Linked DNA regions of Mus musculus. The protein of the gene in region 2 interacts with the protein of the main gene of each other region in a pairwise test. Links are inferred from orthologs where the notes say so. Each region holds a gene or a part of one and is shown on either strand. Other genes may lie near its edges.

Evidence for each region.
Region 1: the proteins of Bhlhe40 (region 2) and Rbfox1 interact in binary tests that used the Homo sapiens proteins (3 or more experiments, as listed by UniProt). The link is inferred for Mus musculus from reciprocal best matches to the Homo sapiens genes BHLHE40 and RBFOX1.
Region 3: the proteins of Bhlhe40 (region 2) and Aanat interact in binary tests that used the Homo sapiens proteins (3 or more experiments, as listed by UniProt). The two-hybrid records come from large-scale screens. The link is inferred for Mus musculus from reciprocal best matches to the Homo sapiens genes BHLHE40 and AANAT.

The regions. Positions count from the first base shown.
Region 1 is NC_000082.6:7,408,715-7,412,463, reverse strand, and holds part of Rbfox1 (RNA binding protein fox-1 homolog 1), read right to left. Parts: exon of another isoform or gene 2,774-3,749; coding exon 2,651-2,773; 3' UTR 1-2,650. UniProt on the Homo sapiens protein: RNA-binding protein that regulates alternative splicing events by binding to 5'-UGCAUGU-3' elements. Regulates alternative splicing of tissue-specific exons and of differentially spliced exons during erythropoiesis.
Region 2 is NC_000072.6:108,663,618-108,667,366, reverse strand, and holds the end of Bhlhe40 (class E basic helix-loop-helix protein 40), read right to left. Parts: intron 2,889-3,749; coding exon 2,035-2,888; 3' UTR 442-2,034; downstream 1-441. UniProt on the Homo sapiens protein: Transcriptional repressor involved in the regulation of the circadian rhythm by negatively regulating the activity of the clock genes and clock-controlled genes.
Region 3 is NC_000077.6:116,592,447-116,596,195, forward strand, and holds the start of Aanat (serotonin N-acetyltransferase), read left to right. Parts: upstream 1-1,240; 5' UTR 1,241-1,328; intron 1,329-3,129; coding exon of another isoform or gene 3,130-3,190; coding exon 3,191-3,347; intron 3,348-3,679; coding exon 3,680-3,749. UniProt on the Homo sapiens protein: Controls the night/day rhythm of melatonin production in the pineal gland. Catalyzes the N-acetylation of serotonin into N-acetylserotonin, the penultimate step in the synthesis of melatonin.

The DNA.
Region 1 (3,749 bases), on a different chromosome or scaffold from region 2:
CTTTTATTTTTTTGATATTACAAACCAGTTTTCTTTATTCACAAACCACTGTAAGTGATATAAACACTAATTTCTAAAGACAGATATACACATTTTCTGGGTTTGCAGATTGAGTGATGTGTGTTAAGAAGTCACTATATGCCACATTAATCTTTTTTTCCATAATTCATAATAGCAATAGTTATTTAGATAAATGAAAACATTCCAAATAAATACTGTTGTTTTAAAAAATCCAAAATGTTTGTTTACACCTCTGACATGACAGTTTAAAACGACTTATCGGCAGCTCAGTGGAGTGCCTAGACAAAAGGTTCTGCGACACCGATTGGCACCCACTTGCTCTAAATGATTTTTATTAAAACTACATACGATCGTAGGGGAAAGTACAGTTCATTGATGGAAATCAAAACCGCAAATGAGTTTTACTTTAGCCAGCACAGTAAGAATTCCATGTTTGTGATTTCATACACAATGCAGGTTCTGGGCTTGAAAATCTGGGGCGACTGGGAGGAGTCTGTTGATCTTTTTGCAGCCCCCTTTTCTATTACTATCTTGACCCCATCTGGGGTTGAATGCTACAGCATCATGATAAATTGTTGCCTTGGATAACATCAACCAGGTGCACGCTGTAGCAGGCCAGGGAAGTGGGAACGTGATGTTGTCAAATGGTTCCCTCTGGACCTGTCTCTCCCTACTCAAAGAAAGGGGTCTGGTGAAAGAAGAACAGTTTCTCTTCTCACCAGTTCAGCAGTTTCTCTCCCTTCCCCTCCTCGCCCTTTGCTTTTCTTTCTCTCCCAAACCATGATCACCTGTCTTAGATATCGAAGCTACAAAAACTTTGTTTTCAAATCTCATGAAACTTTATTGATGGTTTAATATCCAACCGATCTTACGGGCATGCACGTAGGATGACGAGGAAAAGCTGGATCACACACACTTTTTTTTTTCTTTTTAAAGTTTCGTTTGGTTTTGATTTTAAAGCAGAGTTGTTACAGCAGGTTGGCAGGTTCACAGCGTGAGTTGATAACTTACTAAAGTGCGTGCCGCGGGGCCGGCACCGCACACACAGGCAGCAACACTACTCAGGGAACAGCTTGCTGATATTTTAGAATTTAAATACAAAACAGGAAGACCCATGACAGATACCCCAACTTAGGTTAACTTGTAAACAGGACAACATGGGGGGGATTCAAACAGAAGAAAATCACAAGTTGCAATTTTTCGGCTGTGTTGCTCTGGCCCTGCTCCGAAAAAGGATGGGGCAGATCTTGTTCTTTGGGGGTGGAGGGGATAGTTCTAGTTCTTGTTTTTTGTCTTGTGTTTGCTTCCTTCTGACAATTGTTGGGCCTTGGTGATAGAAATAAAGATACCAGTTTATGATAACCCTGGGGCACTGGGGAGAGGGAAGGGCGGGCTCTCACAGACTGAAAAATTGCAAGTTGCTCACAGCGCAGTCATGTTTTCAAAAAGTATCAAGCTGATGAAAATACCATGATTATCTCTATTCAATGATTGCGATACTTGTAAAATGCGACTATAAATCCAGATATGATTATCATGTAATTCCATAAAAATTATACGTCTGTCTCTAACAGTTAATCTACTAAGCTAAACTAAAGCCTCAGAGACTGTTCTAGAACATAACTCCACTGCACAGATGTAAATTTTATACATATTTTTAACTGGTACAAAGAATTTAAGTTTTTATTACTTTCTTTTTTGGAAAAAAAGAAAAAAATAGAAACAGTGCTTTTTTTAATCACCTTTTTATTAATGTTAATTTTTCCCTCCCGTAATATAAAAGTCAGCAGTGATATCAATAATTTCTCATACTGGAAGAAATATAAAAAGAATGCTTACTGATGGCCTAACTAGTAGCCTTTGCTTAAATAACTAGTGGGTAGGTAAGAAGCTGAGTACTGCAGGTGGAATGATAAGAGGGTGGACTGGCCGACACAGCTTCCTTCCTTCAACTGCAATCTCCGTGCTATGAGAAGCGGATTCTTAACACAGCCTTTGGCTTGACTTTGCCAGGAGTAACTTAGAACCATAGATTTATGATAGTTGGTGCAGTGGGTCATTTAGATTCATCAGTTACTATATATATGTATATATATATATATATATATATTTTCTTTTTTTCCTTTCAGCCAAACCCCTAAGCCCGCCCCAGCCTCCCCTTTCACAGAATAAAATAATGTGGATGCAGAAAGAATGACTTGCCGTTTCCAGTCTTCCCAAACAGCTTAACCCCAGTAGCTTCATGTTCGGCATATAGAATTCATTTACATAATATAGCACTCTGGATATGGCCCTAAATCAGTTTTTATTCATATCTAGCCTCTCTCTAGATCAACCACAAAAACTCCTACAGCCAACTGAACTACAAAAACCTTCAGAAACCAAAGACCCACAATATTAAAATACACAGAACAAAATATCTGAGGTATAAGATAAAAAATGTAATTTTTCCTCTTTTTTTAATTTTTTTTTCTTTTTAGTTGTTTCTTTGAGTTGCTAACATGATGTCCTACTGCATGTGATGCAACACTCAGGCCTCGGAAAGCTTCCTCTCTCCCCACATTGGAAGGTTGGGTTTTTTTTGTTCGTTTGTTTGTTTATTTGTTTGTTTGTTTAATGGTTTTATCATTTAATATGGAGCAAAACGGTTGTATCCCCCTCGGTATATACTAGCCTGCAATGAAGAAAGAACGAGACCCACATCATCAGCATGGCTCCTAGTCTTGGCATCGGTCAAGGGCGCAAAAGCATTCTGAAACAAAGCAATTTGAGGGGTGTGGTTTTTTACATGTTGCCTTTTGTAACATGTGGATCATCAAAAAGACTAATGTAAAAAAAAATAGACACTCAAAACCAAGCAAATTAGAGGGCACCCCCTTCCCCATCCCAGACCTTGTCAGAAAGTTAATGGTGGTCACTCCTGACCTCCTCCTACAACTCCTTATGAAAAACAAAGACGAAAACCTAATAATCCCAGGAAACTGAATTGGATCAGCTGGTCTTACCTACCAGCTACGAGGCTTCCAGTTTTCAAATGGGAAAGTGGATGGATAGGAACCAGCTCATTTTACTGGTTTGTTTCTTTGATGAGTGGACTAATTGATATGATGTTGCACTGGGAGAAGCTCTGTGTATAGTCAAAGGTGGTTCTAGACAATGTATTGAATAAAGGGATCAGGATTCTTTTCCACCCCTTTCCTCAAGTGGCCTAGATCTTGGAGTAGTCTTGGTTGTTGGATGTCACGGTGAAATAAGAATAAAGGCCTGCTTCTAGCTTTGGCTAGGCAACTGACTGACTCTGATGCTGCAGTGGGGGTGGGGCAGGAGCTCTGCTGGGTGTGATTAAGCTTATGTAGAACAGCAGGCTCTTCTATGCCTGCTTGGGTTTCTATGACCCAGGGTGCAGGGAACTGCCTAGCAGTGGCTTCCTACCACACTTAAGCATTTCTCTTTGCTGCAATTATTGGCCATTCCAATGAATGCCCATGGGACTGAGTTTCAGGGAGAGGGCTAAGATTCTCAACTCAAGCAGAAGACTGCATGCCAAGGCGTTGTATTGATCGCATGTGCTCTCACACAATGGACATGTCTTACTGGACTCAAGAGTGTTAGTGCATAGAAGTTTGAACAAGTATAGGCAAATCCACCCTACCCTTGCCTCCCCCCCACTTTTGCCCTCCCATTTCCCTTCCCTTCCCAAAACAAAAATATGAGACTTCCCACCCTCC
Region 2 (3,749 bases):
CATTATTGTTGCCTAATAATCCAATAACTCTTCTATATGTGCAGCCTTATAGAAGCCTCCTCTGACACTCTATTCCATGAGCTCAGCCTCTGAATTGTCCCATGAAGTTCTGAAGCAGCATGGAATAAGTGGTTGTCTGGAAACCAACACGAGACAAGAAGAGTTCATTAAGATCTATAAAAGACTGAGAACGTGGCTCACTTGGTAAGAGTGCTTGCTTAAGATGCAGCCCTGAGTTCGATCCTCGGCACTGCATAATACCAGGCATGGTGGAGCATGTCTCTACTGATCCAGGAAGCCTAACCGTAATCCCAGCATCTAGAAGGTAGAGACTGGAGAATCCATTCAAGGCCGCCTTGGCTGCACAGCAAATTTAGTGCCAGTGTGGGCTACTACATGTGACCCTGTTTCAAAACAAAACAAAACAAATCCAGCATTTACCTATTATGTGAACTCAATATTGTTTTTAATGCCAGGCACATGACAAGCCAAATGCAATTATGTCAAGATTAACTAGTCACTGTCCTCAGTTGAGAGGACAGAGAAAGTACCGTGACACTAAGTTATTTTTAAAACCAAGGAGACCATTTCTCTTCCACAGGAAAAAAGCTTATTTTATTAAGTATTTTTAAAACAACTGCTTAACATTTACTTAGATAAAAATATTTACAATTTCACACCTTCAGGAAGGTTCCAAAATATAAACACTGTAACCTCGCCTCTCCCTAGAGAAAAAAATTATTCTCTTCAAAAACAGAAATACATTCATTTTTTTCCTCACTGTGTAGATCAAGTAATTATACAAATAGACATCTGAAACATTTTCCTTTGTCATATATTTATATAATATATATTTATAACAGCTTTACAAATAAAGGCAACAACTTTTATGCCCAAATAAAAATGGGAGAATTTCAACACAAGCAGAGTGCATTTGGAAAGCTGGTGCAGGGCTGGTGGAGCAAGTCAAGGAAACAAGGACTCTGGATCAAAAATAAAACGTCCTTAAAGGAGATGGAACCCTTTTTAGCAAGGACGCTCCATCCACTGCTGGGCAAGAGGAAATAGCCTACAGAAAGGATCTTGGGGTGCCAAAGCTCTGCTAGGCCTTTGAGAAGCTAAGCTTGGTTCAAAGCTTTAGGATACACTTGAAATCCGTGTCTAGCTGTGCAATAAGTGTAGCAATTGATTACTTAGCTCTGTGTACTTTGGGACGTTTGGGGGCATCTCCGAGAGCCTCCTTTGGTTCCTTGGACAGCATGCCGTAGAAGTGAGAGCTAGAAACAGGTGCCAGAGGCCTGAGGACGGGTCTAGTTCACCTTGATTCCCTAGCAGCTCAGCTTGGACAAAGGGGACCATTTTCAGTTCCTTAGTAAACTACTCACAAAAGCCTGAGTTAAGGAACTCCACTCATGGTCTTTATTCATCAGAGACGGGGTTGGGGGGAAGGGACCTGCAGAAATTTGCCCAAACCACTACCGAGACATGCCAGTGTTGGCGACCTCACCACCTTAGCAGAAAGCTCAGCCTGACCACTGTCAGTCTGCTGTGAGTCACCTCCACAATAAAGGGAGAAGGGTGGGGTCCTAACAGCTGGCTGTGAGCTGTGCTCTGGAAAGCCCTCTTTTGAAAGTACCTTTTCTCAAAGCCACAGACAGACCCATGTCCCAAACTGGAGAGTGACTCACAGATCAAGCCTTTGAAGCATATGAAAATCCAACCGATTTGTATCAAAGGGGGGGGCTCTTCTCTGGGTAGGGAAACGCCCAGAGATGTGCTACAGTCCTCCAGTCTGTCATCTGATGTCAGGCTATCCTTCTCGTGTCTCCCTTGTGTCAGAAGGAACTTATTGTCCTACATATACAAACATACATACAAGCACGCACGCACGCACACTCACTCACTCTCACACACACTCTGAATCTTCTCTGTGGGTCTGCAGGGTGGGCTGATCTCTCTGCACTCAGGGAAACCTTTGTGGTTTTTGGAATTAGGGAGGAAAGAAAGCAAGGCAGCAGGAGATCCCTCCAGAGTTTAGTCTTTGGTTTCTAAGTTTAAAGGAGGGATCTGCTTCAAAGCCTGGAGCAAGGCCGAAGAGTCGAGGGACGAATGTGCCAAAGGAGAAGGGAGTCTCTGGGGCAGAAGCAAGGGAGTCGGTATCTTGTCTGGGTTCATGAAGCTGGAGAGGGCTGCAGCTGAGGTGTTGAGGCCTGGGTATAACACTGGCACAGAGGTGGGGTACCAGCATTTCTCCAGCATAGGCAGGTAGGCAGTGGCCGATGGTGGGATGAGATAGAAGGGAAGGCAAAAAGGAGGCTGATGTGGGTGTGGCCCAAGAAATGGGGAACCCATCAGATCACTGCCCGCGAAGTGGCCTTCCTCTTCTGAGAGCTGCATTCGGCTCTTTTTGGTGGGGGGCTCTTCGGATTCTTGCTTAATTGTGCTGACACGTTCTCCCACGGCGAACCTGCGTCCATGGTCGCTTTTGAAGTACGGCTGCTCACTGCGCAAGTCCCCCTTCTCCAATTCACCTCCATAGCCACTGTCTGTGTCCGTGTCACTGCCGCTCTGCTCCCCACCCGAGGGAGCAAAAGTCCGCTGGATGACTGGCACACAGTTTTTCCCAGGGCCTTCTGATCCCTTGGCTAGGAAGCTGGGCTTCTCTTTCAAGTCCACGGCTTTGGGAGCCGAGTCCAATGGTTTCCTGGAAGCACCACCCTGCAGCAGCTCCGAGACCACACGATGGAGATGAGTGACGAGCTGGGAAGATTTCAGGTCCCGAGTGTTCTCATGCTTCGCCAGGTACTGAAGTACCTCACGGGCACAAGTCTGGAAACCTGAGCAGAACATTTCTTGCCCTGCCTCGAGATTTCTTCCCGACAAATCACCTGAAGAAAAAGACCCAGAAAGGAGGATTTTAGAAGGTTGGGTGGTAGGTAAGTCTGAGGCTCTCTTCTTGTCTCTTTTGAAATTGTCGGGCAATTTGCATTTCAGACTCCAAAAGTCTATGCCTAGAGAATTATGCTGAGAAGTATAAAGAATAAAATAAACAAATTCCGACCACTTAGTTACAGGGTTTTTTTTTCCTTATTAATACTTGGGTTTTAATACTAATTACAACAGAGTATCGCTAAGGTTACATATACTCCACTTTCCGAACTAGGATTCATAATGTCTGTAGAGTGTCCCAGAGAAATAAACCAACTTACTTCTACTCTTGATAAACTTCATGTAGTAGCTACCGATTTTTCTTGTGTCACAAAAATGAACATGCTACTGTGTTTAAAAGTTCAACAGTCACATCTTTTTTTTTTTTTTTAAATAAAGCAGTCTCATTCTAGTCTAGAGTGACACTGAGTTACTCAGCAACCCAAGCTGGCCTTGAACGCATATGAGCCTATCTTAACTTTCAGACTGCTGGGCCTACAGGTCTGCACTACCACACCCATCCTCAATAAGTTAGTATAGCAACAGTTTCATGGAAGCAGAAGTCCAGAGACTCATAAAAAGAAACTATATAAAACAAATACCGCCTAAACAAAACATTGTCTCCCTTGCCCCCCACCCCTTTTTTTGTACGAGATAGGATCTAGGATCTCCCTATTTAGTCTTAAAAGGCTTGGAATTCCCTATGCAAAACTGGCTGGCTATGAATTTAAGGGGCTCCATCTGCCTCTCAAGGACAGGACTACAGGCATGCACCACCATGCCCAAGAAACTGTTACAGCTCCCACTGTAATCCCCCCGCC
Region 3 (3,749 bases), on a different chromosome or scaffold from region 2:
ATCCTGCAGCATCAAACAGCAGAGAAGGATTCTGGGGGAAGAGGTCTCCACAGACAGCTGATTGTGTGTGTGGTGTTGCCTGTACTGGCCCTGGTTCCCTCCACCCAAGGGTCAAGGTTGGAACTGCATCCCTCTAAGAGGATCACTGGTCCTAGCAGGTGTGCCCTCTGCTGGTGGCTTTGGGGAATGCTCCTCCTGGCTCAGTGCCTTGAGCTGGCAAGGCTTGCTGATGCAGACAAAGAGCTACAGTACCCTGGTGGAACAGGGGAACATATGGTAAGAGGAGCTGGCCAGAGAAGAGCTAAGAGAGGCAGGGTGAGGTGTGAGTGGGAAGGAAAGGGAACAAAAGAGTGGTGTGAGGGACAGAGAGATTGCAGGTGTGGAAGTCAGAGATCTTTGGAGTTTAAGAAGATGTTGAGCATAACATACATAGAGGTAGCTGCATGAATTAGCACCGTCCAACTGAACAGTTACCTTGCTGGTGACCTTAAGGCCTTCTCCCTGGGCATCCAGCAGCCGGGTCCTAACATCTGGACAAGATGTTGAACTAGAAACCACCATGTGTCTCTTGTGTTCTGGCTTCTGTCACCACTGTGCTGGTCTCCTTCTGGGTGCTGCATGATGGTGTGTGTGTGTGTGTGTGTGTGTGTGTGTGTGTGTGTCCCGTGACATTTTGTATAGACCCATAGTTCTCTCTTTGGTTGGTGGTATTGAGGTGTTTCTGCTCTGGAGAACTGTTTCTAGGGACCTTCCTGCTCTCCTGGTACCTGACTGGGGCCCCTCAAGTTATGGGGCAGAGCCTCAGTTTCCTCCTCTGTAAAATGGATAGTTACACTCACCTGGCAGGATACCCTGTGGATTGTAGAAGCTGCCTCCCCAGGTATGTGGCTATAAGGGATAGCAGGCTTCCTGACCAAGAAGGACCCTCAGAGGCGTGGGCAAACTGGCCTCTGAGGGACAGAAGGTGGTGGCTGGTCCCCAGCCAGCTGGGGACAAAGCAGGGATTAGTTAGACCCCCAGGCTTAGCCCATGCTCTCCCTATAGCTTGAGACGGCTACTAGTAATTCTTTCTACGTCCCCAGTACCACTGATGACGCCTGCCCTCAGCAGGATAGGGCCAGAGCCTGACTGCCAAGCCCTGCTGGCATCATACTGCCTGGGGTAACATGGGAGGCAGGGCCAGGGGGATTAGAATCTCTGAGCCATCACATGCTGCCAGGGGAAATATGTGCTACAGCTTCCTTGCAGTCAGGAGTCTCAGCTTCTCCTAGTCCCAGCACCCAGTGACAGCCCCCAGGACAACACCTGCACTCCTTCTTAAAGTTCTGGTAAGTGGGCCCCCCATCCCTGGCTCTATGTATATATGTATGTATATATATGTGTGTGTGCATGCATGTGTGTGCATGTATATGTGTATGTATGTGTGCATGTATTCGAGCTTGTGTATGTATGTGCATGTATGTGTGCATGTATTTGTGTATGTATGTATGTGAATGTGTATGTATGTGTGTGCATATTATGTGTTTGTGTGTGTGTGTGTGTGTGTGTGTGTGTGTGTGAGTGGAGGCCAGAGGTTAGCTCTGGGTGTCATTCTCTGAGAACTGCAGGGACTGTCTACTTCGTCTCTTTGGACAAGGTCTCTCACTGGTCTGAAGTTCACCAAGTGGGCTGGGTTGGCTAGGGGAGCCAGCGAGTCCCAGGGATTTGTCCAACCCCGTGTCTCTGGTCCTAGGATACAGATGCTGGGTGAGGGGCCCTGCACCAGATTTTCCATGTCTGAGACTTATGCTTAGGTCCTCGTGCTTGAGCTATCTCCATCACCCATTTAAAAAGAACATCTCTATTCCATTCTAGTTACTTGTTTGATGTGCACGTGCGGTGCACACATGCGGAAGCCAGAGGAGCACTGTGGGAGTCAGTTCTCTCCTTCTAGCATGTGGATCCCTGGGATCAAACACAGGTCCTCAGGCTTGGTGGCAAGCGCCTTTGCCTGCTGAGCCATTTCACCTAAGCTCCTCAGCCCTTTTTGAAAGCTGCGGGATGGAAGACATCCTCTAAGGACCACCGCTTTGTAGGGTGTCATGAGAAAGAGGGTATCACACTGGCATGTTCTATGTGCCTAAGCTGATAGGACAGACACATCGCCCTGAATGTCCTCCATACCTGACCCTCCTGACCTCAGACTCTCCAGTCCTAGGCTCTTTAACCATCTTATCCCCCATCTCCCCAGCATGACCCAGTCTGATGTCAGGCTCACATTAATTAAAGAGCTTTTTCTCCTGGACTAAGGTCTGAGACAACCTAAAAAGCTCTCAGCTCGGGGGAGGATAGACGGCTCGGAGATTAACAGCGTGTATGAGTTCTGCTTCAGACCTGAGCTCAGTTCCCAGCACCCACAGTGGGAGCTCACAACCACCTGTAGCTCTAGCTCCAGGGGATGCTTCACCTCTGGGCGCTGGGGGCTTGTGCACGGAGCCACACACAGATACACAGACATATACACTTCCTTCAAAGAACAAAAACTGAAAAAAAAAAACAAAAAACAAAAAACAAGAAGTCTTCTGGGTGAGACAGTCACATGACTGGCAGTAGCCACATGACTATGAGGCCCCAGGTATGAGGGGCCTGGGAGCCTGCCCACCCCGCAGATTCACAAGAAGAGGTTGAAGGTTCATGGCCTTGCTCTACTGCCCTCTTGGGGTATGATACCGATACACAGTTATGGTGCCCACAGTCTCCCAAGGCTGGAGGGCCTGTAGAGTCTTGAGCTTTGAACAATTGCTCAAAGGGACCTCTAGCTCATGAGTGAAAGAGAGAAAATCACGCTAACATTGTCAGTTCCTGCAGTTTGCCTTGAGGTTCAGGTACCTGGGGACTGGTTCTACCCCAAGAGACTGGCACTCTCTGTGATGAACGCCAGACTCTCCCTCTCTCTCTCTTTCTCTCTCTCTCCCTGTCTGTCTCTCTTTCTCTCTGTCTCTGTCTCTCTCTGTCTCTCTCTTTCTCTCTCTCTGTCTTTCTCTCTGTCTCTTTGTCTCTTTCTCTTTCTCTCTCTCTGTCTCTCTCTGTCTCTGTCTCTCTCTGTCTGTCTGTCTTTCTCTGTCTCTCTCTCTCTCTCTCCTCTGACAGTTGCTCAGGGAGCACTTCTGAAGCTGGGGAACCCCTGGGAGGGTTCAGTGGCCAGACGCCCATGTTGAACATCAACTCCCTGAAACCTGAGGCCCTGCACCTGCCACTTGGGACCTCAGAGTTCCTAGGCTGCCAGCGGCGCCACACACTCCCTGCCAGTGAGTTCCGCTGCCTCACACCTGAGGATGCCACCAGTGCGTTTGAGATTGAGCGGGAAGGTGAGTGGCGCTTGGGCGGGTGCGCTTGCCTTTGGGAGGCAAATTTGAGAGCTCTCTCTCTCTCTCTCTCTCTCTCTCTCTCTCTCTCTCTCACACACACACACACACACACACACACACACACACACACACGGCAGGGATGAGGAGAGATGGGGGAAGGAGGGAGGGAGGGAGGGAGGAAGGGAGGGAGGGAGGTGTGCTCTAGTGTAAGAAGCAACAGCCCAGAGTCACCTGTTTTCCTAGCTCGGGCAGGATCACCCGAGTGACCACTTCTGTGCACAAACAGCAGGCAAGTGCAGAGCAAGCAGCCTTCATCTTGCCTTCTGCTACAGCCTTTATCTCTGTCTCCGGTACCTGTCCCCTCTACTTGGATGAGATCCGGCACTTCCTAACCCTGTGTCC